Linked DNA regions of Danio rerio. Each later gene encodes a partner of the first gene's protein in a complex. Links are inferred from orthologs where the notes say so. Each region holds a gene or a part of one and is shown on either strand. Other genes may lie near its edges. The genes, in order: srrm1, snrnp200, cwc27, rbmx2, snrpd1, ppil2 and rnf113a.

Region 1 (3,508 bases):
GGTAATGTCTTTAGAATTTGAGGAAATAAATGAATTTAATCCACTTAGGAATAAGGCTGTAATAAAAAATTGTGGAAAAAGTACAACGCTATGAATACGTTTTCCGATACACTGTATAAAACTGGAGGAACTGATGTAACAATGGTTTTAAAATCATATTCTTTTTTTTTCTGTTTTTTGTCTTTGTTTTCCTTTTCTGTGTATATAGTTGTTGTTGCTACTGCTGCTGCTGTTGTTGCTGCTGCTTGTATTGCTCTGTGTTGCTTTAAGGTCAAAATATAAATATATTTAGACATGATTACTTACCATTTAAATAAACTTACTGTAATTAAAACCAACTATACAGTGGTTATAAAAGCAGAATACAAAAGCCAAATTATTTTCTTTTAGAAATTATCATCCTACCCGATGAAACCAAAACTACATTGCTCAAACAAAGGATAATTTGGTTGTTTACATTTTTATGCAAAAACACCACAATCGGGGGAAGAATCAAGTGTTCCAGTATTAGTTCAGCCCAAAACACTCCACATGAAATATATTTTGATGTCTTGTATCACATACAACGGATGTAAAGGGTGAACTCCTTAAAGATAGTCTTTGTTATTACCAAAGATCTTCCAGCACAATGCACAGCTGATCCAGAAACAAAGCTTTCCAGCACTTAGCCTGACCTCTAGGGACAGTATAAAGACAGACTGCATGTTTACCACCCATGTATTCCCACAGATGCCTGCAGCCAGAAGCAGGTGGCATTATAAAATAACAACCAAGGCAAAACATTGCTGCCTTAGGCTGATTTTCCAGATCAGCCATTATTAACCGCATTACACCTTTACAAACTCACTGAGCTTTCATCTGTGGCTAGTGAAGATTTCACATGGTGCTAAAAGGGAAAAAACAACAACATGAACAGCACTTGATTATCATGTGTCATTACCAGACCTGGGACACTACAGGCTTTCCAAAGAACCCAGTAAAAAGGGACTAGCAAACATATGCAAAACAGTTTTTTTGCATCCTAAATGTAATGCTGTCCACATTGTTAGCATGCTGGACGAGTCTGTCATTTACATTCATGATCATTGAAAGTGAAACAAAACAAACTGCAGATATGCACAATAATGCAACTTAAAAAAGGAATTTGAGACATTTTTCTTTCAATTTAATGTGACTTTCTTCAAAGTCAGACATTTCTGCAGGGTCCAACAATGTCAAACACAACTTAGGTTACAAAAAATAAGCAACAAAAAAAAAGAGAGAGATGAAAACAGACTTCGGATTTGTTCTCATGTGTACAGTGGAGCTCTCAAGCACTGCCACAATGCTCAGATGAACAGAGAGAGCAGTTTTACTTTATGGATCATGCACACAAGAGGACAAACACGCTGGGGTCTGCCGTCCATGCAAACAAAACTCTCGAAAAAAGTCCCGCGAAGGTTAAGAGAGAATCTATAGGCTAACTCGTACATTATTAACTCAGAACGGCAAATAAGCTTTTCATTTTTTTTTCATCATGACTGTAAAAGCAACACAGAAGGTGAGGGGTGTGGGGACTAAAAAAAGTTTTGTTTGGAACATTTCTTCTTGACAGTATTTAAGTGGTAAGGGTCAAAATCTGATGGAGAAACTTCAGCTGCTCACTCATTTCTATATCATAAAACACTTCAGCAATAAACATGCCAAAATAAAAATAAAAAAACAATTCCAAAACAAATGAAAAAAAAAAAAGTCTAGGGTGAATTTTAACAATTTGTACATTCTAAAGCTGAACCAACATCAAACATTTAAAATGCAGAGAGTGGAAGAGAAAAAGGGAAATGTGGGGTGCAGGAGAGATGCCCTCAGGACTGAGACGATGGAGACATCTGGGCCTTCCTCATTGAGCGGAGAGCTTTCTCACGTAGGTGCTTCTCCAGATCATCCAAACTGTCTTCTACTTCACTCTCTGATTCCTTCAAGAAAGGTAGCATTAATTATGTCTGACTCAAACATAAGTAGTATATTTAGATTTTACATTAGAGACAATACCTAACTCGTAAATTAGGGCTGGGTGATATGGCCATTTTAAAAAATCCCTGATTTTCACAAAAACTCAAATTTACGATTTAAATAATCCCCCCCCCCCCCCCCCATAAAAAAATGCATAAAGTACTAACATACACTCCCCAGCCACTTTATTAGGTACACATCCAAATACTCATTGCAAAATTCTAATCAGCCAATGACATGGCAGCAACTCAATGCATTTAGGCGTGTTGACATGGTCAAGACAATCTGCTGCAGTTAAAACTGTGCATCAGAATGGGGAAGAAAGAAGATTTAAGTGCCTTTGAAAATGCCATGGTTGTTGGTGCCAGATGGGCTAGTCTGAGTTTTTCAGAAACTGCTGATCTACTGGGATTTTCACACACAACCACCTCTATGGTTCCACTGAGCGGCAGTTCTGTGAGCGCAAATGAATTGTTGATGCCACAGGTCAGAGGAGAATGGCCAGACTGGTTCCAGCTGAAAGGCAACAGTAACTCAAATAACCACTCGGTACAACCGATGTATGCAGAAGAGCATCTCTGAACACATCGAACCTTGAGGCAGATGGGCTACAGCAGCAGAAGACCACACCGGGTGTCCTGTCAGCTAAGAACAGGAAACTGAGGCTACAATTCGCAGAGTTTCACCAAAATTGGACAATAAAAGATTAGAGAAATGTTGCCTGGTCTGAAGAGTCTTGATTTCTGCTGCAACAGTCAGATGATAGTGTCAGACATTGGTGTCAACAACATGAAACCATAGATTTATCTTGCCTTGTATCAATGGATCAGGCTCGTGGTCGTGGTATAATGGTGCGGGGGATAATTTCTAGGCACACTTTATGCCCATTGGTACCAATTGAGCATGGTGTTAACGCCACAGCCTACCCGAGTATTGTTGCTAACCATGTACATTCCTTTATGACCACAGTGTACCCATCTTTGTATGGCTACTTCCAGCAGGATAACACGCCATGTCAAAGCACGAACCATCTCAGACTGCTTTCTTGAACATGACAATGAGTTCAGTGTACTCAAATGGCTGGCACCTGAAAGATTACTCTAGCCTAGTGCACTGAGCAAGTCTGACAGTGTTGATATTTACAGTAATGAACATCTTTACAGCTGGGTCACATCATTTATCCGAAAACAGCAACGTTGGATTCCAACATTAGATGGGTAACAGTCATAGATATTTACATTGTATATATCTATAGGTAACAATTCCTTTCATATGCGCATCTTTTCTTTTAATCGTCTTATCCATTAATGCTACTTTTCATTGTGAGAATACAATGTGTGGCACACAGTTACCAACTTCTGTGTCTCACGGTTAAATGCGTTTTTTTTGCCAGGCGTGTTTGTGCACCTGTGCTGTTTTTCGTTTCATTTCAAAGATCGCATAATTTCTCCGAGTTCTCTTCTGCTTGCTGCATGTTGTTTGTGTGTTTCTATGGCAATGCGGGGGAAACTACAGG
Region 2 (4,507 bases), on another chromosome or scaffold:
ATAACCCTAATCCAAATGCATTTACAACTCACCTTGGCATTCTGCACGTTGCCCAACACAATCTCTGCATTCAGCATGTCAGCTAGTTTTCCCACCATCTGGCTTTCGATGGGCAGCTGCTGATTGAGCAGGGACAGGTAATACTGCAGCTCTCCATGAGAAGTGATCAGAATACCCTCTCCTTTAGAGTCATATTGCGGTCTGCCAGCACGACCCAACATCTGCACCAAAAAGTCAAGAGTTATTACCCACAGTTCAATTAACTTCTTAAAAGATTGATGAAAAACACTGACCTGTAGGATGTCCAGTGCTCCCAACTCCGTCCATCTGCCTTTCTCTGGGCTGTAAACCTGTGTGCCTTTGATTATGACAGTGTGAGCTGGTAAGTTCACACCCCAGGCCAGAGTGGCTGTGGAGACCAGCACCTACAAAACACACATTCATGGGTTTTAGGATTTAGAAAACAAAATAAATTTATTTATTTATTTTTTTTTCCCTCACGGTTACTAACTAACCTGAATGTGACGGTCAGCAAACAAATCTTCTACCAGCGTTCTGTCCACTCTGGTCATTCCGGCATGGTGAATAGCAAAACCATACGGCAGAAGATCCTTCAGCTCCAAGTTCTGCAACCATAAAAAAATTAATTAATTGATAATGTGTGTAGAGGACAATTAATTGCTCCAATATTAGTTACATTTTAGTATTCACTGATGGGTATACTATTAGCTTTATCAACACACTGAGTTTGCAATGGAATTGCTGGTTTATTAAACAACAGCAGACAAGAAGCATGTTTGATCCTGGTGTAAAAATTATGGTAAATACTTAAGTGGGTGTAAATGATCTAAAAAATTCATTTGTATGACTCAACCACTAATATCTCAAATAATAAAAATAATATCATAATAATATCTGTATTCACACTTGTAGTTCACTTTTCTTGGCTTGTCTGGTCCAGACCAAAAAAAAAAAACAATAGTTGTGAGATCAGTAATATTTCTGAATTCTTAAGATTCGCTGAATAGATTTTTATTACTGTCAAAACTTGTTAAAAACAAAACATTGCTGTATCCTTGGCTAAATGCACTCCTTGTATGTGATTTTTTTTTTATGATTGCTTTTTTGGTCACATCCTGTGACATCATAGTCTGTTTTTGTCTCTGGTCTGTTGCATTGATATTTCAGTTTAACCACACCAGAGTTAGACAAACCATTTATTTGGTGCATAGCAGTGTTCAGATGGCAACTATTACATTTGTTCAATTTACCACACTAACAATCGCACCAGATTTCACTGCTATTAAATCAATTCTGCCAAGTGTGAACAAACCCTAAAATGATGAGCTAACCTTGCACTGCTCTGCCTCAGTCCTCAGGACCTCAGTGGAGGCTGAACCCTCCCTCAAGAATAACCCCAGAGTGTCCTTCTCCAAACACATGTCCCTGATTGCTCGAGCTGTCTTCCCGGTCTCCTTTCTCGAGTGCACAAACACCAACACCTGGGGGAAACAACATGTATGAAACAATAAAAAAGACAATATTAATGACTGAAAAACTAATGGGACACATGGAAGTACAAAGGACTAATCATGTTATTGTGTTGAGCTTCACACCTGATTTTTTCCAGCATGCTCCATGATCTTCTCATAGACGATTTCATTCATGATCTGAAAGCGTTTGATGGCCTTTTTCTCTGTAATTCCCACATAGGTTTGTTCCAGAGGCACAGGTCGGAAACTATAAAACAAAAGAAAAAAGCCAAACATATGTTCATTATTATAGTAAAAACATATTCAGTGTTTACCAAAAATTGTTGAAGACCACCATTCACAATCTCACAACAGCAGTCCATTTCTCACCTGTTGTCGAAGTAAAAAAGTCCCTTTGATGGATCCACACGAAGGCAGGTTGCCACATCCTCATAGTTAGGCAGCGTGGCGCTAAGGCCGATAAGCCTCACGTCTTCCTGCGTCAGCTCCACGTTACGGATGGTTCGAGCAATCAGTGACTCCAGGACTGGGCCGCGGTCATCATGCAGCAAGTGGATCTCATCCTGTAAGGCAACGCATGTTTATATATAACACAAAACATACGGAGAAACACTGAAAAGAAGTTAAAGTGAAACCTTGATTTGATTACTTACAATAATGATAAGGCGCACAAGCTGTGTATAAGTTCGTTCTCCTCCTTTCCTTGTAATGATGTCCCATTTCTCTGGCGTGCACACGATGATCTGAGTGGCGTTTATTTCCTCCTTGCACAGCTGATGGTCTCCGGTCAGCTCGGAAACAATGATGCCATAACTAGCCAAGCGCTGCAGGTGTAAAGCAACAATATTTTAGAACTGTATAATTTATTATAACATTAAACAAGTATAAAAGTGCTAATGTTAAATCTATGTCTTAATGTGGCCTCACAACATTATCTGGCTAATTGTAAAACTGTAAATTCATCTGTCTTAAAATCTTTCCTGTTATTATGACAAGAAGTCACTAGAAATAAAACTTGCTTTTAGTTGAGGAACTATGAGAGATGAAATCAAGTTGGTAACACTTTTAAGAAACGGTCCATTAGTTCATGCTAGTTAATGTTTTTACTAACAAGAACAAACAATTAGTAATACATTTATTACGGTCTTTATTCATTTTGTTAATGTTAGTTAACATTAAGTTAAATAATGTTAGTTCATGTTAACTTACAGTGCATTATGGTCAACAAGCACAACTTTATCATTTAATAATGCATTAGTAACCGTTGAAATATGATTAAAAATGCTATACACGCTTATTCATACTTAATGTAAGTAAATACATTAACTAATGTACCATTATTCTAAAGTGTTACTAGAAATGTAAGATGTTTTTACCTCTATGTTCAGTGTTCCTACCTTGCCAAAGCTGCCCACCATCTCCTGTACCAGTGAGCGCATAGGAGCGATGTAAATGATCTTAAAATCTGCAACATTGATGGTGCCATCCATGTTAATGTGCTTTCCGATCTCTCTGAGCATAGCCATAAGAGCAACATTAGTTTTACCAGCACCCTACAGGTCATAGAGAGGGACAAAAAATCTTTAAGTAAAATGCACATAAAACTGGCAAGTTCTACATTATATCATTTATCTTTGTTTTCCAGTAGACTAACCGTTGGAGCGCAAACCAGAAGATTCTCATCAGTCTCCATAGTGGTTTTGAAGAGTTTACTCTGTATGCGATTCAAGGATTTAAATCCTTCAAATCCAGCTTGAGCATACTTGGGCAGTTTCTCAATACCCACCAATGTCTTTGAAAGAAATAAGAGAAAAGTGAAATACTGGCCAATCAACCAGCAATTTAAACTCTGTTGTATACACTTCTGTTCAAAATGGCCAATAACATTTTTTTTAATGGAAAAAAAAATGTATATAGCAAGACAGCATTAACATGATCAAAATTGACAGCAAAGATGTTACAAAGTATTTCTGTTTCAAATCAATAGTGTTCACTTAAGCATAGTGATTAGAGAACAGCGAAAATAAATCTTTCTTGCGACACAAACAAACCACATCCATTTTGTTATATGGATATTCACCATATTAGAAAGATTTCTGAAAGATCATGCAATACTAAACAATGGAGCATTTGCTCTGGAAATTACATTTTGCCATCACAGGAATAACAATTAAATGCTAAAATATGAATACAGTTTTAGATAGCAATGTTTCCACAAGATTTCAGTATGATCTTTGATAGCTTTTGAAAGCTTAATAGCTTTTTTGTTTTACTTAGCCAACTTGATGTGGCAATAAATTAACCAAAAATCCCTATCCCTAATAAGAAAAGAAAAACTAGCAGATAAATACCTCTTCATCACCAAAGGGTTTGGGTTTGAGTGCAGGCACATGAACCTCCTCATAGCCCTTTCTCTGTTTGCGGAAGGAGCCGTCAGGCAGCTGGCAGCGCTTGTTGGCCATGAAGTGACTACCTTGAGTGAAGGTCAGATCTTCCAGGTCTAATAGCTGCCTTGAGGACACAGACTAAAGACAAAAAACACAGAACAATAAAGTGTCACAATGCACATTAGGAGTGGTTATCAAACTGAGAAAAATTACATTTAACTCTAATTTTAAGAGGTGGACACAGCATTAAGTGGGATCTACCTCGCCATGATCAATGTCCATAGACTCCAGATCATCCACACGAGATTTTCTCATTCTCTCCCTGCGAGATCTCTCCTCCTGCAAGAAAACACAACATCATAAATTTACAGACAGACATTTGTCTTTAAATGATTAAAATCTCAAACAGTCCAACACTAATGTGAATAAAACCAGAGGGCAATTCCTGACCCTGATGATGTCCTCTTTTTCAGTCTCTTGCAGCTGGTAGAGAACTTTGGAAAGATCCTGATCGGCCTCCATTTTATTAATGATCTTCTCCTTCTCTGCTTCACTTTGAGCACTGGCCAGCATGGTGCAGTACAGGACTAAATATGACAAAAAAGCAACATTAAAAAAAAAGCAGTA
Region 3 (4,507 bases), on another chromosome or scaffold:
AAAGTGTTTTTTTAAGCAAACTCGTTCCTCCAGTTTAAAAATACTTTTTTAGGCAACGTCACAGCCAAGCGATCATTGTGTAAATTTCAGCTTGGAAACTGGATGCCTGTACCGGTTGGTATAATGTGACGTCTTTGAGTTTTCATCATTAATTTATTAAATATGAAACAAACTGTGCTTTAAGCGTCTTCACCGTTAGAAAAACACTTTAACTACAAAAGTCTTTTAGTCAAGAGCAGAGAGGGATTTTCTCCTTTTGTTGTTTGATTAATAATGATAAAAACAGGTGGCAGCAGGAACATTGTGCACTGTCACTTTAAAGGTTTCTCTTTATTGTGTCTTTTGATTCTCAATTCGTTTGTTTATTACATAAATGAGGGTTAATATGTATAATCACTAAACACCACGTTTTGACACCTATTTGACTATTAAATTGCTCACATTGAGATGACTTTAGATGTGTGCGCTCTGCTCGTCTGTGTGCGAATGAGACCAAATCCTGACCACATGCTTCTGACTGTGTGTACGTGCCACACACAAACAGAAGTATGCGGTCTTTCGCACTTTTAAGAGCAACAAATGTGTACAACTGGAAAAGGGGCGGTATATGATGCAATCGTTTATCTCGATTAATGCTTTTTCATAATCGTTAGAAAATAAAATCGAAATCGGATTTTTGATTAATTGCACAGCCCTACTATACACACACACGGCTGTTTGACGCTATTCTCTGCATCTACCAAGAAATCTGGAAGGTTTTGTTCTCCCATGCGGCATGCGGTATCAAATTCCATTAAAACTACACTTTTCCTGCAGTTCCTCGCATCCAATATCTTGTGTGTCATGGAGACATGAATGAAATGTTGCTGAATTAAAGTGAAAGTGCCAAACTTTTAAAAAAAGTAAAAAGTAAGAATGAAACAAAGCTAGACCACCTAAACAAAGCTAGACCTAGACTCACCGACTTTCCTGAATTTTTTCAAACTAGAGGTGTGAAAACTGTTGAGACAGCGCGGTTTCATGGGCCTTTAAGAGTCTTTAATAGTGCTTGCTCTTCAATGATGAAGAACCATCTTCATCATTGATGCAGAACTTAGACAGCTTGAGACGTACAGTTTGACAAATAAGGACTATATTATTTTAAAATAACTATGCTTAACAATTTGTGACTGTTCATTCAAAATATGTGGGATTCAAGTGAACAAAAGTATATTATAAAAAAAAACTTTGCTAACAATTCATTGCAACTGCTTTGATGCTTTACAACATACAACAGTGTAGTGTGCAGCATTTACATTTTTATAATTACTAAAACCATAGCCTTCTGAAGTTCATTAACATCAGTAAGCTGCTTAGCAATTTCTGTTTAACCATCTTTAAATTTAAGATCTTATAAAATGATAATTAAGATGCCTGGTATACCAGCAGTTTTAGATTTCATGGACCCAAAACATATTTATATGTGAGAAATACCTTCCCAAAAGCTATACATCTTTAATTTCTTGTTTAAAAGATCTAATTTGTGCTGTAAAATGTAGAGTGAACATTATAATTAAATATTTTTAGATGAGTCTTAATTACATAGAATAAACTTTACTTTTTTGTTGTCATTTTATCAGTGTAGTAACCCAATTATTTAAAGAACCTCTATTTTGCATTATAAAAGGTCATGTTTTGGTTTTGGAGGTCTCCAACAACAGGCTAATATGCATGCAAGGTCAAAAAACACTTACAAATGCATTTATTTTTACCTAATTATCCCAAAAATTCCCATATAATTCGTTCAGTGATTCATTTGTTCCTAAACCTCTTCTTAGCACAAAGCTAATCTGTCCTGATTGATCCGATGACCCAGACTGTTGTGATTGGTTGACTGCATTCAGCACAAGATGGAGAGAAATGCCCACCACGACTATGAGTAACAGATGTGTAAGTACACGGCTAAGTAGCACACAGAGAACGTGAGAGCCCAATGCAGAAATGCATTAAAACAATGCAGTGACACACCAACATCTGTCTACTGTTAACAAAGTTCCTGTCTGACAAAATCCCACACATAATAGCCTCTGCTGCTCCTTCCTTTAATAGCAAACGACTGGCAAATCCCACGTTGAATTGTAGGTTATTGTATCAAAAATCAGAAAAAGGAACAAACACGGCACTAGGTTGCCTATACTCTGGTGTTGTTGTGAAATTGCCTGCAGGCGAATCTCCATCTGTCAGTGATCATCATCTTCCCATCATGATCAGTCCTGTGATCCTCAGCACTCTGCTTATGTCTGAATGGAAAGCGCGTTTACATTTTACCAGATCTGGAACTATCTATTTGGTGATGTACCGTATTGACGCCGATGCATTCAAGCATAACTCTATTCAAGCATAACTCTATTCATTCATTCGAGTCACCTATTTTGTAAAAGAATCAATTGTTTTAAACATGGTGCACTTTCAGATTTAAACCTCAGCTTGACGTTTTCATTCACTTCATGCTGTTACACACTGCATTAAAGATCATTTTCAAAAACCCATAAAAGGAGCTCTTTAAGTCTTGGATAGTCATATTTGGTAATAAAAATAACCTTCAAAAAGCTATTTTCTATAGCTGATTTGAACACAACATATTAAATTTGTGAAATAAATAGATAAGAGGAGTGAAAAAGACATTTCGATGGTTATTCTAAACATTAGAATTTGAGTGCAGTCAGACCACAGAAAGACTTGACTTTGCAAACAATAGAATATCACAAACCTGACCCAGACTTGACTTGATGACTGAATGATGAAAAAAAAGTTACACTGCTCTTTGGAAAACGCTAACAAAAGGTAAGCAATTAACTAGGCATGTCAACTAAACAACAATGCCAAACGTGTTATCCAAGTGCTCCTTCACAGCCAACATTCAATCAGGTCTTCAAAACACATCTACAAAACGGCTTCAGATATATTAGACATAAAAAAACAAGGCTTAATGTAGAAAAACAAGCTGTTTGGATGCTGACTTGATTTTGAGAGAGGTTGAAATGCTTTCAACACGCCATGTGTGAGAAATAAATCATGTTTCTTGCTGTTAAATCGGTATAAACATGACAGTTTCAAAGAACGCGGGTAATTTCTAAAGAGCTTTTTCAAATTCTGTCAACAGAAAGACAAAAAAGACAAACAGCTGTGGTTTTGTGGCACAGACACTCACCCTCGCTGACGTCCTCTTCTTTCTTCACACCGTCTTCTTTTCGCTGTTTGATTGCAAGTAATTCTTTCTTCAGCTGGCGAGCTTCTTTTCGCAATTCATCACTGTGAAAGACATTCAAGCAAGAGCTGGAATTAATTTCCAGTCTTGGAAGGAGCGCTTTCTCAATAAGTCTTGCAAAACGCAGAAGGGAAAAACACGTTACGGAAGGAAAAACATGTAGAACACTTTTTTAATCGTAGCAATTGAAGATACTTTTCCTGCTATTTGAGATAAATCATTCGAAATCATAAATTAAACATAAGTTAATGTGACATGGAAAATGACCAAATCTCAAACAGGCTAGAAAAAAAGACCAAACATTTTCAGGCACAAACTGAAATTTCAAAATGTCTGCGACAAACGGCTCCTAAAATGTGGTTCTCAATTTGTGTAACCTATTTTAAAATGGTCTTTAAGCCATGACCCAAAGTTTACTTTAAAAAAAAAAATACCATCCTACTGTTGTGAAAAGAAATATTTTTTTTTAATTATTTTTGCCTCTTTTTCTTTTCATTAATCATTTGTATTTCTATTGCTTAAAGGTGATATATTAACAACTTCTATGGTTGGGTGTGATATGTTTTGCATACTAATGATGAAGCATTTTTGCAGAAGTAGATGAAGCTGATTGTCTAAGATTAACTTTAGCTCAGCAGCGAAACTTTCTGTGAGACTGAATATTTGCAGTTGAGTCTTATGCTTTTGATGTTGTGCAAAGAATTCATCGAAAAAGTGTACGTAAGTAAGAGTGCAGCCAGTGGAGGACTGGAGAATGATTGACAAGTGACAAATTCCACTAAACTCCACCTGTTAATATCAGCAACGAATAAAAGAGTGAATCAGCAAATTAAATTTGTTGCACACCCCTGAAATGTAACTCTTGTATTGCATTGAGAATAAAAGAATTCTGTGAATCGAATTATTCATTTCTATCCAACAAATTGCTAATGCATTAAACCTTAAAAGAAAAACCTCTCCTCATCTTTTTTATTATACATGCATGGAATTGATTAAATATTTCAACTACTTTACTTGATACATGAAAATAATACACAATTCTGTAAATAGAAACTGTTTACACCAACTTAAAGAACATGAATAATTCTTATGAATAAACAGTATAAAGTGAGAATATTAAATTACAGCGCCAAACTGGTTTTTGTTAACAAAGTAAAGCTAGTAAGTTGGTACAAGCCAAATAATGATATATAAAAAAAGAGGGGTCTCATTTAGAGGACCAGAAGCAACATGGTTAGCACACAACCCCAACATTAAAGG
Region 4 (4,127 bases), on another chromosome or scaffold:
AATTCAGTTAAACACCTACAAATGTGGAGGAGCAGCGGCTCTACTCCAAGCTCCTCTCGGGTGAAAGAGCTCCTCACCTTATCTATAAGGGTGAGCCCTGCCACCCTGTGAAGAAAACTTATTTCGGCCGCTTGTATCCGAGATCTTATCCTTTTAGTCACGACCTAAATCTTATAAACATAGGTGAGAGTAGGAACATAGATTTACCGGTAAATCGAGAGCTTTGACTTTCGGCTCAGTTCCTCCTTTACCACAATGGACCGATACATCGAGCGCATTACTGTTGCCGCTGCACTGATCCGCCTGTCAATCTCACGTTCCATCCTTCCCTCACTTGTAAACAAAACCCTGAGATACTTAAACTCCTAAGGACTTTTCTCCACCCTGGAGATGGCAAACCACCTTTTTCCGGTGAAGCACAAAGGCCTCGGAATTGGAGGTGCTGATTCTTATCCCAGCCGAGTCACACTCGGCAGCAAACCGCCCCAGTGCATGCTGAAGGTTCATGTTCGATGAGGCCAACAGAACAACAACAACGTCTGCAAATAACTATAGTCCCTGAACCAGACCCCCTCCATTCCAAGACTGCGCTTTGACATTCTGTCCACTAAAATTATAAACAGAATTGTTTACATAACTAATACAACCTTTTTGTGTGATAAGTGTTACCAAAGCTGTAATACATAAATCTGCTTTGAATACATGAACACAGAGAAATTAGCACAATAAATTTTTTTGCTGGACTTGTCAGCTGCTTTTGACACTGTCAACCACCAGATCCTGCTATCTACGCTCGAGTCACTGGGCGTTGCGGGCACTGTTATACAATGGTTTAGATCTTACCTCTCTGACAGGTCATTCAGGGTGTCTTGGAGGGGAGAGGTGTCCAACCTACAGCATCTAAACACTGGGGTACCTCAAGGCTCTGTTCTTGGGCCACTTATGTTCTCCATCTACACATCATCTCTAGGACCAGTCATCCAGAGACATGGATTCTCCTACCACTGCTATGCTGATGATACCCAGCTATACCTCTCTTTTCATTCTGATGATCCCTCGGTTCCAGCTCGCATTTCAGCCTGCCTGTTGGATATTTCACACTGGATGAAAGATCATCATCTTCAGCTGAACCTCGCAAAAACGGAAATGCTTGTAGTTTCTGCCAACTCGACTCTTCACCATAACTTTTCAATCCAGATGGATTACTGCATCCAAAATGGTGAAAAGCCTTGGAGTAATGATTGATGACCAACTAAACTTCTCTGACCACATTTCTAGAACTGCTCGATCGTGCAGATTCGCACTCTATAACATCAGAAAGATCCGACCCTTCTTATCTGAACATGCAGCTCAACTCCTTGTTCAAGCTCTTGTTCTCTCCAAACTGGATTACTGCAACTCTCTACTAGCCGGGCTTCCAGCTAACTCTATCAAGCCTCTTCAACTGCTCCAGAATGCAGCAGCACGAGTTGTCTTCAATGAACCTAAACGAGCACATGTCACTCCGCTGCTAGTCCGTTTGCACTGGCTGCCAGTTGCTGCTCGCATCAAATTCAAAGCTCTGATGTTTGCCTACAAAGTGACTTCTGGCCTTGCTCCTTCTTATCTGTTCTCACTTCTGCAGATCTATGTGCCCTCCAGAAACTTGCATTCTGTGAATGAACGTCGCCTCGTGGTTCCATCCCAAATAGGGAAGAAATCACTTTCGCTTACGCTCAATCTGCCCAGTTGGTGGAATGAACTCCCTAACTGCATCAGAACAGCAGAGTCACTCGCTACTTTCAAGAAACAACTAAAAACTCAACTATTTAGTCTCCACTTCACTTCCTAATCTGCAATTGCCTCTCTGAATATCACACTAACTGTACCAAAAAAAAAAAATACTAATACTACTAATACTTCCCTTCTTAGACTTTACAGACCTGAAACTTGCCTATAGCACTTATTCATTGTTGCTCTTAGTTGTGTAAATTTTTTCCCCTCTCCTCATTTGTAAGTCGCTTTGGATAAAAGCGTCTGCTAAATGTAAATGTAAATGTCAATAAATGTGTCTGGAATATGTAACTACTCATGAAATATAAGCATTAATCTGATAATACATAAGTCTGACAAATGATTAGTATTTTAAGTGTCACAAGAGATACAAATGTATTGATAAACATTGTTTGTTATGCTTCAGATAAAAAGGAGAAGAAGAAAAAGAAGAAGGAGAAGAAAGAGAAGAAAAAGGCTCTGAAGGAGGAGAAACGTGAGGGGCGCTCTGAAAGCTCTGCATCTTCTCCTATCAGAGTAAAGAAGGAGAAGGAGGATGTGGCGTATGAGAAATACAGCGTGAAAGGACCTGCGGCTAATAGAAGAGACAGAGCAGATGAGCAGGAGCAGTTAAAAGAGAAGGAAAGAGAGAGAGAAGAGGGCAAGAAGACAGACAGAAGACATGCAGAAACACAGCAGAGAGAAAGAGACAGAGAAGGAGAGAGAGAGGGGGACAAAGAACGAGAGAGAGACAGAGGAAGACAGAGAGACGGGGAAAGACAACGAGAGAGAGATGGAGGAAGACAGAGAGATGGGGAAAGAGACCGAGAACGAGAGAGGGACGGAGGAAGACAGAGAGATGGGGAAAGACAACGAGAGAGAGATGGAGGAAGACAGAGAGATGGGGAAAGAGACAGAGAACGAGAGAGAGACGGAGGAAGACAGAGAGATGGGGATAGAGACCGAGAACAAGAGAGAGACGGAGGAAGACAGAGAGATGTGGAAAGAGACCGAGAACGAGAGAGAGACGGAGGAAGACAGAGAGATGGGGATAGAGACCAAGAACAAGAGAGAGACGGAGGAAGACAGAGAGATGTGGAGAAAGTCAAAGAACGAGAGAGAGATGGAGGAAGACAGAGAGATGGGGAGAGAGACAGAGAACGAGAGAGAGACGGAGGAAGACAGAGAGATGAGGAGAGAGTCCGACAACGAGAGAGAGACAGGGACAGAGAGAGAGACAGAGGTAATGGCAAACACAGAGATCACAGTCGTGAAAGAGAACACAGGCGAAACTGATCAAACTCAGTAGTTTACATTTTCTTTTGATGTAAAAAATATTCATGTTTTTATTGTATTGTACTACAAAAATGTAAATAAATGTTTCACACTTTTTTTAAGTCTTTCTGGAATAATTGACTAATGGCCACTCAATGTTAAATTACACACATTTTATTTGACTAATAAATAGATTTCATTTTAAGTTAGCACAAATACTGTAACAAGAATAAAATAGAATAAATGTCCTGATGAACTCCAAAGTCAAGGTGATGCGAAGAATTCCTGTCAATTGTAAACCTGAAATCATTTGTAAAATAAAATTAACTATTAAAAGACATTGAATGTAGGCGACGCAGTGGCACAGTAGGTAGTGCTGCAAGAAGGTCGCTGATTCGAGACTCGGCTGGGTCAGTTGGCGTTCCTATGTGAAGTTTGCATGTTCTCCGAACGTTCATGTGGGTTTCCTACGGCTGCTCCGGTTTCCCCCAGTCCAAAAACATGTGGTACAGATGAATTGGGTAGTCTAAATGTCTCCCAGAGATGGGTTGCAGCTGTAAGGGCATCCGCTGCGTAAAACATATGCTGGATAAGTTGGCGGTTTATTTCGCTTTGGCGACCCCAGATTAATACTAGTACACCCAGTGGTTGAACTAGGTATTACATTCCTGGATCAAAACAAGCGCAGGTTGCCAGATTGAGGACCAACAGGAGCGAGCCTGACTATCGAGCCTAAAGGCTGATTTAAATCGTGTTCTAAATAAAAGCAACGGCACGTCTTTGAAGGAATATTTTCCACATAGTTTTTGTTCTAATCAACATCTTGAATTGATATATTTGAAACGGTTTCTATTAGGGCTGCACGATTAATTGAAAAAAGGTCACAATCTCGATTTGACCTTACACGATCTTAATTCAGCTTTTCTACGATTCAGCCAATTATTTATTCAAGGTCAGGAGAGAAGCATAAAGGCAGTCAGACAAGTCTTCACAGCAATGTGGACACCTACAAATGGCTATGAAAGAGATGCATATTGTATTTATAAGGTATAGTTCACCCAAAAATGTAATTTCTGTCTTAATGTAATGATGTATTCACG
Region 5 (5,217 bases), on another chromosome or scaffold:
ATAATCATATGGTATAATGGAGTAATGATTAGACTACAAGCATTTGATATGCTTTTTTCTTTCTTAGCGAACAGTGTTGTGCATGAGAATAAACAGTAGACCTACATATTAATATAGTTTTTTTTACTATATATTTGAGAAATAACAATAATAATAGCCCACTAATATTAACCTTTATTTTAGATCTACAGAATCGTGATTTTGATTTCAAGCAAAAATAAAAATTTAAAAATTGCAATTCTCATTACAGTCAGAATCGTGCAGCTCTACTGATGACTATTAAACGCATCATAACAGTCCTGTGAAAAGGGTCCATTGCGTGTTTAACAATTTTAAAAGGAATAGTCAACTTCTTTTTTTAAAGAAACAGTCTCATTTTACAACTCCTTAGAGAGTTAAACAGGCGAGTTTTCCCATTTATGAATCCGTTTAGCTGATTTCTGGGTCTGGTGAGAGCACTTTTAGCTTAGCATAAATCATTGAATCAGATTAGACCATTAGCATCTCACTTGATTCTTCTGTAGTTACATTGTGTATTACAACTAGCAAGAAATGAAAAGTTGCTATGATCTATATCAGGGGTTCCCAAACTTTTTAACTCGTGACCCCCAAAATAACAATTTTAGTAACTCACAACCCCACTATCCTCTGAGGTGGTTATAAGTAGGGCCAGATGGAATCTGCGGGCGTTTTTTGCTATTTCTGCGGAGAGTTTTGGTAAAGATCTGCGGAATTATTTTGGGAGTATCATAACTAAAACCTTAATATATGACATAAAAAAAAATATCTTTATATAATTTTTATTTAATGTTTAAAATGCTAATCCAATTAGATTCACATTATTTGGTAAACAAAGCAAGTCTCTCATATAATATCTCTACTAAAAGACAGAAAATATTACGGTACAAACTGCATTGTACATAAGTCAGACGAACATTTTCATATTAGTCAATAATATTACTGAAATAAATGTAAAAACTGAATTAATATAGATTTACACACATTTACTCAAGTAAATAAACAGAATTAATGATGGGCTAAACATCAGCGGAATTCAGCTCGCGCAAAATAAGTGTGGGCCTAGTAATAAGCATACAAACACTGTACACAATAATGCACACACACAAACCAATAGCAACTATATAAACAAGCTTATTGACAACACAACAAAAGTGCAGCAGTTTATCAACCATATCATTTTATAGTCACTATTCATTTGTTTAATTTAATATTAACCTCACTTAATGAGAATTGTGAAATATATACAGCACAAGTCTATTCTTGATTTAATTTCGGAGACCGCCACTTGGAGATCGTCCTCTATGTTCAGTCGTGGCCTTTATTTTTAATGTACAGGAGTGCTGTAAATGTGTCAAAGTTTAACATTGAGCCGTAAAATAAATCTGCTGCAACTAACACTATTGCTGTGTTATTAATCTAGCGTAATCACTCAAGGAGTCGTAATCCAATGGAAAAATAATGTAAACGCTGCTGTCTGTTTATGTACATGTTTTTGTTTTAAATGTAACTATTAAACACTATCTTCTGCAGGTTATGGATAAAATATGGTAATTTTAATAATTTATTTATATGTATATATTGGAAATCACCAAGCAACCCCCCCTCAAGGACTCACGACCTCCCAGGAGGTCCCGACTCCCACTTTGGGAATCACTGGTCTAAAAATTGAAAATCTCCACAAGTAAAGATGTAAATTTTCACACAATACCATGATCTATTGTTTTTCTGCTCACATGATTATTATAATACGAGTCTGACTCAGTGGCATTAATTCATCAACAAAGTATAACAAGTTTTCTAATTATTATTATTAGCACAATATAGGGCATATACAATGAGTCTTTTTAATTCAAGTTTATTTGTATAGCGCTTTTTACAATGACTAGTGTTTCAAAGCAGCTTTATAAAAGGTGCACAGTATTGCATAACAATCCAATTAAGTCAAGTCATTTTCAGCTAAAAGGTTAAATGCATTTTTTCCGGGAGCTGACAGATGTAATTGAGGTAAAGTTGTTTTTATATTCACACATTCAGACTTAATATAATTTCAGAAAAGTATTATTTGCAAATACTAAATAGGGGAATCATATTATCACCAAATGACTATAAAGCACAATATTGTTTACGGTCTAATATTGTTTTGAAGTCATTCTTATATGTGATTTCAGATCAAATATTCAAAGCAGCGTGGTAAAAAATAATGAATCTGTATTCACCTTTTTAAATACTGCTTTGCTATTTCATAGAACGCCAAAGTCTAAACCTGCTAATATAAAACCAACTTCACCTCAATATAAGCACATTTATTGGCCACCTATGAGATGTAATGCATCAGATTCAAAGAGAAAATGCATAATATGACCTCATTTAATGAAACAGGCACATAGCAGACAGTTTATAAATGTGATTATGGTGCATTACTTAAAATAATAATTACCTGTAATTGTGCCATGGACCTGTGTGCCATTCTTCAGCTCAATCGTGACGGTTTCATGGCTCAATTTCATCAAAAACCTGCAGGTCACAATCATAAAAACAATGATAAACAATTATAATAACATAACGTCTAATATCTACATATAAAGCATTTTGTCAATATGATTATATAAAGTATTTACAGCTTACTAATGATAATAAACTGATAACTATATTTAAAACAAATGATAAACTATATATCCAATAATCTTTAGACTTCCTAACTACACACTATAGTGTCTATTAACATAATTATATGATTATATACAGCTAGCATATTTAGAAACTAGTAAATAAATGTAGCTAACTTAGCATTAACAGTTATTGTTTCTGTTTATGTATTTGTTGCATTTAAGACCCCGCATGATCAAACTACCACCAAAAAACGCACAATGTATTAATAATCTAAGACTAAACCCGCTTATTACATAGTTTAAAACACGTATGTGCTTAAAACAAATGAGTAAAACGTTCAAACAAACGCTCGCCCATTCATTCATTCCCGCCTGATGAAGCTAACGGCTAACTAGCAGCTACACACAATCCGGCTCCATCTATTAAAATACATCGCGCATCCGCAAAGTTTCTTTGTGTATTTTACTTGTATGACAGCTGTAGATGTTTATTACCTGACGAGTTTCATGATGGCGGTGGACTTTGAGAGAAAATCCTCCACCTAGATGAGAAAAAATTGTAGCGCAAAACGAATGTAGGACGCTACTGGAGAGATGGTACAATCACTTCCTGGGTGAAAGGGAAACAGAATTCTGAGGACAGAAGGGTTGCCATTACTCAACAAAATCACCGGAATATTTTTACACGCTGGTAATTTCATTTATAAGCATGTTATAAACATACAAAAGCGAATTTAAAATTTTAAATGTTGCTACAACAATTTTTATTATGATAATAGCTTAAAAGTATTTTTCAATTTCGATATCTCATGGTACATAGGTTAATAAAAATACACTTTTAATTAACCAAAACAACAATAATTTAATCTCACAGTAAATAGTTTCCTTAAAGCATTCTTTTAAAAAACCAAAACAGCAATATTAATCATATTTAAGGCTTCAATTGCGTTTTAAGATAATAAAAGTATAATACAGATTTAAATTTTGACACTTTTTTTTCATAAATGTTTAAATCTTTTCCATATCACAGCGCAGCTACAAAATATGATTTATTTTAGACTATGAATAAAAATATACTATAATAAAATATTAACTTTATTCTGTTTTTTTCTTTGTAATTATATTTTCTTAATTCAAAAAAATAGCATTCAACATCCACCGGAATAGATTTAGTTTTAACGTATCTGGCAACCCCACAGTGACGATACAGTAAATAGGTTAATAAAAACACACTTTTATTAAACCAAAACAGCAATAATACCCATATTTAAGGCTTTACTTGTGTTTTAAGATAATAAAAGTATAATACAGCTTTAAATTTAGACAATTTTTCATGTAGTGTCATTTTCATATCAAAGTGAAGCTCCAAAATACTGTTTATTGTAGATAATGAATAAATAAGATACTATAATATAATGAAAGCTTTATTCTGTCTTTACTCTATTTATATTTTCCCAGTTTAAAAAAAAAGCTGCATTTAACAACCACAGGAATAGATTTATTTTTAACGTATCTGGCAACCCTACAGTGACAATATCTCACGGTAAAGGTAAATAGGTTAATATAAACATACTTTTAATTAACCAAAACAGCAATAATAATCAAATTTAAAGTTTTAGATGCGTTTTAAGATAATAAAAGTATAATACAACTTTAAATTTAAACAATTTTTACGTATTTTTTATACTACAGTGAATCTCTAAAATACTATTTATTTTAGATAATGAATAAATAATATACTATAATATAATATAAAGTTTCTTCTGTCTTTGTAATTATATTTTCTCTATTAAAAATAACATTCATGCACAGTTGTGGATTCAATTTTAAAATATCTGGCAACCCCGTGGCGATATCTCAAGTAAAGGTAAATAAATTAATAAAAACATACTTTAATTAACAGAAACAGCAATAATAGTCATATTTAAGCTTTAATTGGGTTTCGAGATAATATAAGTATAATACAGCTTTAAATTCAGACACTTTTTTCACGTAGCAAAAGATTTAATTTAACGAATCTGGCAACCCCGCGGCAGGAAGTGAATCCCGGAAGTGAGCGCTCATTGAAATATCACGTCAAAAGTGGATCGAGGGATTAAAACACAGAAATCAAACCCTCGCTTTTCATCATGAGAAATCCCCGAGGGTTTATACCGAATAAATGATTAAACTAGCATAAAGCAGCGCTTCAGACCGCGGGAGAGCGATGTTGTGAGCGATGTCGCGGTGTGTATTTGGAGTGACGTGTGTTAGTGAGTGACAGCTCATCCTCTTCCTCGTCCTTTTCTTCATCTCCAGCATGTCATTGAGCATGTTATTATTGTCGGCGGGATCTGCGTGCAGTTAAGATGTTTCCGAAGACCTCGTTCACCAGCCTGATAGTGGGGGTGTTCCTGCTGTATGTGCTGCACACATGCTGGGTGATGTACGGCATCGTTTACACCAAACCCTGCGAGAAACGCCGAGCCGAAAGCTGCATCTCTCCATACCTGGCCGCTAAACCCAGACTGCAGGTCAGAAACTAATTTATACAAGCGTTATTTAATGAACAGTGCATGTTGAATCAGGCCTGTGCAGCTCTTCTGGG
Region 6 (3,785 bases), on another chromosome or scaffold:
CTTTGCTTTATAATCTTAAAATGTGAGCAAAATCACCTGTTTTGTCATCACTTTATACATTATGCTAGAGAATCATTCAAACACTAGCTCTAAAGTGACATTGGTGGATGAGCAATGGTTTCTGCTGTTCTGACGTCAGCTGCAGATGTTAAGGAATGGCAGAAGAAAGTAGTTCCTCTTACAAAAGGGATTTTAGAGTCTTCGTGTTTGATGTTCTTTTTTATACACACGATTATGCTGTCGAACTGTTGTATGAACTCAATATCATACAAGTAGCAGTGTGATGTGGCTGTATATCGACTGCTACTTGTGTGATATTGCTCATATATACATTATTCAGTACCAAAGCCAAAACTAGAACTAATCTAAAAAAATAACTTAAGATCACTGTCTAAAAATTAATATAATAAAAAGTATAAGTTAGAGAAAAATATACAAATTGTTTATAAAGTTGAAAAATCGATAGAAACGTAAAAACATTTAAATGTGTTTAAATTCTTTGTTTTTTTTTCAGTTTTTTAAAATATATTACATTTATATTCCTAATTACCAAATTCTTAATGGATATAACAGCTTACTAATTAGGATTTGTTTAAGTGCACCAAATATATTGGTTATATTTACCGAGAAATGCACCAAAATATTCATTTTCAAAAGGAGGTGTACTCAATTATGCTGAGAATTTCAGATCATTTATTTAATTAAACCCTGTGCTTGCAAATAAACAATAAGTCCAAAAAATATATAAAAATTGTATTTTTTGCCATAAAAACAAATGAAGTGTGTGCATGTGAGAGATGGATCTGTTCCCATCAGGTAGCAGTGACTGTGTGTTTGTGTGTGCGAGAGAGAGAGAGAGAGAGAGAGAGAGAGAGATCCAGACCTTGGGTGTGAGCAGCAGGTGTTCAAATTACTGTGCATGTGTGCGCTCGTCTCTTTAACAGTCAGTCAGTGTGTTGGGGATGAGTGTGTGTGTGCGTGTGAAAATCAGTGGGGTTGTGAGGGATAATTAGAACGATCTCTTGTTGCTCACAGTAAACTATGCTCATATCCTGAGCCCTGCTGTGGTGCAGGACAAACCCTCACCACTGACACCCACAAACACTTATTTGCCATTACCAGAATTAAATCCAGCATAAATATGGTCAACACTGTAAAGATGCATCCACCTGTATTTACCAAAATATCCGTCTGTACATCTATTCATCTGTTTATCCATCTGTTTATCCATCCGTATATCTTTCTGTTTATCTATCTATCTATCTATCTATCTATCTATCTATCTATCTATCTATCTATCTATCTATCTATCTATCTATCTATCTATCTATCTATCTATCTATCTATCTATCTATCTATCTATCTATCTATCCATGCATCCATCTATCAATCCATATCCATCCATTTATCAATAAATCAATACATCCATCAATCCACATATCCATCCATCCACTTATCAATCCAAATAATCATCAATCCATTTCTCATTCCATATGTCCATCCATTTGCTTATCAATCTACATATCCATCCATTTATCAACAAATCAATCCATCCATCAATCCACCAATCCATTAAACCATTTATAAATGTACATATCCATCTATCATTTTGTTAAACTATATATCCACCCGTCCATTAATTCCTATATTTACCCATTCATCAATCCCTATATCCATTCACCTATCTATCCATTTATCAATCCATATATCCATCTATCCATCCATCAATCTGTATATCCATCCATCCATTTATCAACCCATATATCATTCATCCATCCATCCGTCCACTTATCAATCCATCAATCTGTATACATCCATCCATTTATCAAACCCTATATCCATCCATTTATCAATCTATCTATCTATAGGATTATCCATCCATCCATACATTCCATATTCCACATATCATCCATCCATTTATCATTCTATATCCATCCATCCATCCACTTCTAAATCCATACATACATCCATCTATTTATCAATAAATACATCCATCCGTCCACCAATCCATTAAACCAATTATCAATCCATAGGCGCATCTATCATTTTGTCAATCTATACATCTATCCATTTATCAATCGATTAAACAATCCCTATATCCATCCATCCATTTATCAATTTGTATATCCATCCATCTATTTATCTATCCATATATCCATCCATCATTTATCTATTCCTATATCCATCCATCTTTCTTAATAAGTCTGTCTTTTTAGTGACGGTAGTTTTGCCACAAACATTAAAAAGACAGACGACAGATCTCCTGACGCTGCTGCAGCTTTTAAGAATCTTTTAACCAATTCCAGGTTAATAATTTCTCGTCCTGTGATGTTTTAGATTCTGAGTCAATCTGATAGCACTGCTATGATCCTATAACCTTTTTTGATAAACAACAAATAACTTTCATATTTTCAAGTCAAAGAATGAAACACTATTGCTTATAATCAGACTGTTTTGATAAAGATGGATTACCAAAATAAGAATTACCAAAATAAATGTCGAGACTTCATGTATTCAGTGTGAATCAGTTCTGTGCTCACAGGAAAGCTTCTGGCAATGTGACTCATAGTACCTTAGTAATGATCAAATATTTAATCAATGCAATAACTTGGTAAATAACAACCCCAATAAAGTCTTGCACTATTACAATGTTGTCATATTCAACAACCAATATGTGTGAACTCACGTAGCAGACATGTTGATGTATTTTCCCACTCCTGGTCTGAAGGCTTTAGGCTTTTCCTCAGTTTTTGCCTTGTTGACTAGAGCAGAAGTTTGTGCTCTCTCTTCCTCCACTTTCTGAGCTTCCTTCTCTCGCTCCGCTGCAATCTAACACACACACAGTTACATCGGCTGCGCAGCATGCAAACACATCAAATACAACATGACAACATACACGCATAAAAGTGCTGACCTGGGCATCTGCTTCTTCATACGGGTCCACAAAAACTGAAGTGCTCAGTATCTTAATCTCAGACTGACAATGTAAAAGAGAAACAGAGTCAGGCTTAGAAAACAGTCTTTACCTATTAGCATGCGGTTACCTTTTAAGAAAAAAAGCATTGAAATATCAAGCTAAATGTTGCAAGATTAAATAAAGTTTTTCACATGAAGCACAACAAAATAAAATCATGCAAATAAATGAAAATGAAAAACAAATTTGTCTTAGGCCTTTTTGAAGAAGTAGATGACTTTAAACTAAATTTCTACACTCATTTTACAATTCTCCTAGAGGTAAACAGTTGAGTTTCACATTTTTGAACCCAAAAAATTCAAGAAAGCTAATCTCCGGGATGGCTGGAGCACTTTTAGCTTAGCGTAGCATAAACCATTAAATAGGATTAGACCATTAGCATCTCAGTCAAAAATATAAAAAAGGAGTTTCTATGATTTTCCTGTTAAGCTTTGCTCTTCTGTAATTACTATGACCGACAGTAAATGAAGAATTGCTATTTTTCTAGGCCGATATGGCTAAGAACTATACTCTGCATAATAATGAAGGAACGTTGATGCCGTACCATGGCTCCAGCAGGCACAATGATATTACACAGCACTGTTACCTTGTTGGGCGCTGTTTTCAGGCGCTGTGCAATATCATTGACCCTGCTGCAGCAAAAGTACAGCTGCAAAGTTCCTTGATTATTACAATAGAATGAGAGTATGCATGAGTGTACTTTATGCAGATGAGTGGGCTAGACAAACCACCTGAAGGATACACTCCTCCTGTCTTAATGCACCAGACATTTTGTTAGAAATACTTATGTTTGTTTCTGTTTGTTAGTATA
Region 7 (4,193 bases), on another chromosome or scaffold:
TCAATGTAACAAAGAAATCGATAAATAAACCGTTCTACATAAAATAACAAGTCAAAAAGCACCTCAAAATGCCGGATAAAAGGAGCAATTCCGCAGTAGGGCTGGTTGTGGTGTTTCTCGTGAGGAAGCTTTCCCAGTTGAGGCAGGAACGGTATGGGGTCCCGCGGGGCAAACAATGCCAACAGGTTCGGCGGAAGAAACTGAGTCATTGTTCACCTGGAAGAGAGAAAAAACACAAACGATAAAAAAAATAATCAACAATTAGGAGCACCTCATGCAAGTTAAGCAGTTACTGTGTGAAAATGGTAAATAAGACGTTATTTAAGATAAGGTGGATTTAAATAAGCAGACAAAATCATGCTAACAGATTCAAACTGAAAATTCAGCGTCTTCACATAGATCTGGATCAGTAAACAAACACCCCTTAAACGAGTCTCGTGAAGTTAGCTGCTAGCAGTCTTAGCTTTCTCGGTTAGCTTCGTGCAAACAAACACTTTTATTCTCCACATAATGATTAAACAAACTACAACTTCAGCATCAGATCACGTTAGTGTAGCATCAACAAAAAGAGACGCATCTAATAACTAATATCAGTGCACTCTTTAATACACAAAAATAAAGCAAAGCTCAGTCGTGGTTACGGTCAGCTCTGCTAATTCACCAACTCTCTCATGATGATCATATCCGAGATCGCCTACATTTCCACGGACGGCCTCCTGCAGTCAATTACCTCAGTTTTTCATTCGGCTCCAACGAAATCTCCGATTTTCGGGCCAAAATCCTCTTGCGTGTTTCTGTGGAAGACCTTCGTGCATGAATTTCTTTAATTCACTCGGTATTTTTGTGTGTATTTCGGTCCACACAATACCCAACGTGTGTTCTCACCCAGTTGAACGAGTCGTTCCTTTCTTAAAATGGCGCGAGGCCGTAAACCGCTGCGGTGTTTCACGACACATTTACGTCTAGTGGTACATTCACGATAGGGGCGTGGCCAGTGTGGAATTTGTACTGTAAAATATTATTTATTGTTATACAGTGTCACAAAACTTATGCTATGTTGATGTACGTATCCACAGTATCCTAACTAGACTTTACCTTTATAATGGGAAAAAATTCACTCTAAATCATAATTTTACTTTAAGTACACCATAAAATACCTTAAAACGTCTTTATCCTTAATTTTGCTCAATGCATGCATCCAAATATTGTCTGAATATTGCTAGTTACTGATTAATAATAATAGTAAAGATATGTACATTATCAATTGTTAAATGGGAATATATTCATATCAAATACAACAGCAGTAAACCATTCCCATTCTACGTTTCTTCCCAAACACAAGAGGCGCTGTAACCAAAAAATGACTTCATCGTTTGTTTTTATACGTAGTTAAAGATGGCGGAGTCCGAGGAGCCGAAAAAACCCACCTGCACATTTATTTTTAAGAAATCAAACAAGAAATTTTCCGCACGGAAAAGAAATGCAAGTGACAGCGACAAAGGTACGTTGTGCTTCTTTCTTCAGTGTCTCAATCGACAGCGAGTTTGACTTGAGAAACTATAATCCCTACAACAAGCCGTCTGTTTAATTAATGTTTATGCTCAATACATGTCTGCAGTTCAGTGTTTTGTTTCTTTATCATCAGAAAAAAGCAGCGGCGATGAGGGCAGTGCAGTGGTCAGAAAGAAGAAATCTGCCGCTGTGAACCCCATGATTCAGAAAGTATGTCCGTATTTCATGTGTTTTATGTAACTAGCCGCTGTTAAACTGATGTCATCATTATTATATTTATTATTCGTTTTATAGACGAAGAAAGTGGAGAGGGAAGCTGTCTCATCGAGTGAAAGTGAAGAAGAGAAGGAAGAAAAGAGCGTGACTGTCGCTTACAAGTCCACTCGCTCAGCGGTGAGTCTGACTGACCCAACATTTGTACAGCTTCATGATTTATGCTACAGCAAATTATGAATATAAACGCTTGATGGTGCCTAATAATTCATGACCACGTATGACTTTACATTTCTATTAACGTCTGACAGTTTTTGCGCTGTCTCATTGAAACATTAAAGGCTGTAATTGAGTGTATTTGACTATGTGTTGCAGAAACCAGAGGGGCCGGATGACATGGGGGCCACTGCTGTCTATGAGCTGGACACAGAGAGGGACAAAGATGCTCAGGCCATCTTTGAGCGCAGTCAGAAAATCCAAGAGGTATGCGGGTGATTGGAAATAACTGGCTGCATCATTGTAAAGTCAGGTTTATGTATGTTATGTACAGATTCAAAGTACCTTTACAGTTCTAGATTTAGATAACATTAAACTCAGCATTTTCAATTGTATTTACACATATTTCAAGTAGACAACAGCTCTACAGAAGGTGATATAGTAGCGTGTCATGTCATGTCAGTTCAGTTATTTAGATACCTCACTCAGTGCTTTCAAGCACAGCAGAATCAATTCATTTTAGAAAATAAATAGCCTTTATAATAGGCCTGGGCGATTTGGCCTCAAATCTAAATCTTGATTAACTAAACATTTTAACCCGATTACAACTAATGATTGATTATTTCATTTGTTTTTGCCCTCATAGTTAACTGACAGGTTTCGTAAAGTGAGAGATGTTTGAAAAGGGTGCATTACTTGATTTTAAAATAATTGAAGGAAACGCAAACTATCTACTATCTATGATTATTTATTGAACATCAGCGTTGAACAACTGAAATGAAAACACACATTGCCTAAAACCAACAGTCTTCTTTTTTTCGTTGCTCTCCGCGCTGCCCACTCTTGTCATCACTATCAAGCTGACCAACCGCAGAGCTTGCGCTACGTATCGTCAAGTAGTGACATTTTTTGAGAGGTGCGCGTCAGCCACGGCGAGGAGTATGCGATTGCTCAAAGTCTGCGCTCAATGCAGAAGAATAAACCAGCATCTAAGGAGCGGGGTCATTTCATGTCATGATATTTGATTGTTGATATTGTTAAGATGGCCAGAATATACACAATCTCTTAATCATATGGCTGCGTGTTTGTGTGTAATTTATAGGAGCTGACTGGTAAAGAAGATGATAAGATTTATCGTGGGATCAACAACTATCACAAATTCATTAAACCCAAAGATTCCACTATGGGCAATGCCTCCTCTGGCATGGTCAGGTGAGTCAGTGTTGTTACGAGTTTTTCTTTCTCTTGTTTCCTCTCCCTCTTTCCTGCACTCTCTCGGTCTGAATTATTTCCAGGTGCAGCGGATTACGGCAGATTGTGATTGGTGCTTGGATTGGCGGCTGTATTTAAGAGGCCTTTGTTTATCTTCTGAACACAAATGAAAATGTTTTAGATTAAATCTGACATCTCTCTCATCCTCCATGGACAGTGAGATTTCAAAGATGTTCAAAAGTCCAGAAACCAAAAACATTGCATGGGACTTTAGTGTTCTGATGTGTAATCATGTAGAGCTCCCAAAACACTTGTAAAAAACTGTAAATACATGAAAGAATACTTTATTTTTTGTATACATGACAGGTCAGGGTGCGCGTTTACTAGGCATGGGCCGGTATAAGATTCTGACGGTATGATAACCTTGGATAAAAATATCAGAGTTTCACAGTATTGTGATTACTGCTCAAAAATATTCTTTTAAAATGTCTGGGTAAAAAAAAAACTATTATTGTTCCCATTGAACACAATATATTTTATTTTAAGAAGCATATTTTGGAACAGTAAACATGACAGGCTAAAGAATTTATTGAAGACAGCAGAAGTCAATAGTTTCGAAAACACATATTTCTTTAAAAAAAAATGAAAAAGACATTCATCTTTCTCTTCTTTGGATATAAAGTAAGCCACAGCACTGTTCAGGTCCAGAGCATGCCTGGATGTTTTGGTGCTTAAGCATTTTGTTTTTCAGATGTTCCCTAAACCATGGGCTGACCAGTAGCTGTTGCCCTAAAAAAACTAAATAAAATAAAAAAACATGTTGTAAAAAACATGTTTAAACAATGTACATATACCACAGTGTAACAGAAAATGTTAGCGGTTTTAAAACCCTGACTTTTCCAAACCGCAGGAAACCTTGAAAGTCACATGGATTGTTTTTGGATCCTTTTCTGGACTTTGAACGTCTCTTGTCTATGGAGGATGAGGGTGCTCTCAGATTTCATGTAAAATATCTTTATTTGTGTTCCGAAAATCAAACA

The links.
Region 2: srrm1 (region 1) and snrnp200 share a complex: the UniProt entries of both Homo sapiens proteins name them as parts of the minor spliceosome. The link is inferred for Danio rerio from reciprocal best matches to the Homo sapiens genes SRRM1 and SNRNP200.
Region 3: srrm1 (region 1) and cwc27 share a complex: the UniProt entries of both Homo sapiens proteins name them as parts of the minor spliceosome. The link is inferred for Danio rerio from reciprocal best matches to the Homo sapiens genes SRRM1 and CWC27.
Region 4: srrm1 (region 1) and rbmx2 share a complex: the UniProt entries of both Homo sapiens proteins name them as parts of the minor spliceosome. The link is inferred for Danio rerio from reciprocal best matches to the Homo sapiens genes SRRM1 and RBMX2.
Region 5: srrm1 (region 1) and snrpd1 share a complex: the UniProt entries of both Homo sapiens proteins name them as parts of the minor spliceosome. The link is inferred for Danio rerio from reciprocal best matches to the Homo sapiens genes SRRM1 and SNRPD1.
Region 6: srrm1 (region 1) and ppil2 share a complex: the UniProt entries of both Homo sapiens proteins name them as parts of the minor spliceosome. The link is inferred for Danio rerio from reciprocal best matches to the Homo sapiens genes SRRM1 and PPIL2.
Region 7: srrm1 (region 1) and rnf113a share a complex: the UniProt entries of both Homo sapiens proteins name them as parts of the minor spliceosome. The link is inferred for Danio rerio from reciprocal best matches to the Homo sapiens genes SRRM1 and RNF113A.

The regions. Positions count from the first base shown.
Region 1 is NC_133192.1:26,834,002-26,837,509, reverse strand, and holds the end of srrm1 (serine/arginine repetitive matrix protein 1), read right to left. Parts: intron 1,956-3,508; coding exon 1,845-1,955; 3' UTR 1,144-1,844; downstream 1-1,143. UniProt on the Homo sapiens protein: Part of pre- and post-splicing multiprotein mRNP complexes. As a component of the minor spliceosome, involved in the splicing of U12-type introns in pre-mRNAs. Involved in numerous pre-mRNA processing events.
Region 2 is NC_133183.1:33,110,263-33,114,769, forward strand, and holds part of snrnp200 (U5 small nuclear ribonucleoprotein 200 kDa helicase), read right to left. Parts: intron 4,468-4,507; coding exon 4,331-4,467; intron 4,220-4,330; coding exon 4,142-4,219; intron 4,019-4,141; coding exon 3,845-4,018; intron 3,286-3,844; coding exon 3,148-3,285; intron 3,047-3,147; coding exon 2,891-3,046; intron 2,318-2,890; coding exon 2,147-2,317; intron 2,057-2,146; coding exon 1,863-2,056; intron 1,741-1,862; coding exon 1,617-1,740; intron 1,503-1,616; coding exon 1,353-1,502; intron 627-1,352; coding exon 516-626; intron 426-515; coding exon 294-425; intron 222-293; coding exon 33-221; intron 1-32. UniProt on the Homo sapiens protein: Catalyzes the ATP-dependent unwinding of U4/U6 RNA duplices, an essential step in the assembly of a catalytically active spliceosome. Plays a role in pre-mRNA splicing as a core component of precatalytic, catalytic and postcatalytic spliceosomal complexes.
Region 3 is NC_133185.1:12,107,906-12,112,412, reverse strand, and holds part of cwc27 (spliceosome-associated protein CWC27 homolog), read right to left. Parts: intron 3,292-4,507; coding exon 3,191-3,291; intron 1-3,190. UniProt on the Homo sapiens protein: As part of the spliceosome, plays a role in pre-mRNA splicing. Probable inactive PPIase with no peptidyl-prolyl cis-trans isomerase activity. As a component of the minor spliceosome, involved in the splicing of U12-type introns in pre-mRNAs.
Region 4 is NC_133196.1:41,949,815-41,953,941, forward strand, and holds the end of rbmx2 (RNA-binding motif protein, X-linked 2), read left to right. Parts: intron 1-2,179; coding exon 2,180-3,048; 3' UTR 3,049-3,145; downstream 3,146-4,127. UniProt on the Homo sapiens protein: Involved in pre-mRNA splicing as component of the activated spliceosome. As a component of the minor spliceosome, involved in the splicing of U12-type introns in pre-mRNAs.
Region 5 is NC_133194.1:2,232,324-2,237,540, reverse strand, and holds the start of snrpd1 (small nuclear ribonucleoprotein Sm D1), read right to left. Parts: upstream 3,284-5,217; 5' UTR 3,140-3,283; coding exon 3,126-3,139; intron 2,536-3,125; coding exon 2,459-2,535; intron 1-2,458. Other genes in the region: lipid scramblase CLPTM1L, read left to right, coding at 4,979-5,143. UniProt on the Homo sapiens protein: Plays a role in pre-mRNA splicing as a core component of the spliceosomal U1, U2, U4 and U5 small nuclear ribonucleoproteins (snRNPs), the building blocks of the spliceosome.
Region 6 is NC_133180.1:13,658,632-13,662,416, reverse strand, and holds part of ppil2 (RING-type E3 ubiquitin-protein ligase PPIL2), read right to left. Parts: intron 2,978-3,785; coding exon 2,915-2,977; intron 2,830-2,914; coding exon 2,687-2,829; intron 1-2,686. UniProt on the Homo sapiens protein: Has a ubiquitin-protein ligase activity acting as an E3 ubiquitin protein ligase or as an ubiquitin-ubiquitin ligase promoting elongation of ubiquitin chains on substrates.
Region 7 is NC_133178.1:30,712,647-30,716,839, reverse strand, and holds the start of rnf113a (E3 ubiquitin-protein ligase RNF113A), read left to right. Parts: upstream 1-1,393; 5' UTR 1,394-1,395; coding exon 1,396-1,501; intron 1,502-1,645; coding exon 1,646-1,722; intron 1,723-1,806; coding exon 1,807-1,905; intron 1,906-2,100; coding exon 2,101-2,208; intron 2,209-3,043; coding exon 3,044-3,153; intron 3,154-4,193. Other genes in the region: snrnp70 (U1 small nuclear ribonucleoprotein 70 kDa), read right to left, coding at 63-209. UniProt on the Homo sapiens protein: Required for pre-mRNA splicing as component of the spliceosome. As a component of the minor spliceosome, involved in the splicing of U12-type introns in pre-mRNAs. E3 ubiquitin-protein ligase that catalyzes the transfer of ubiquitin onto target proteins.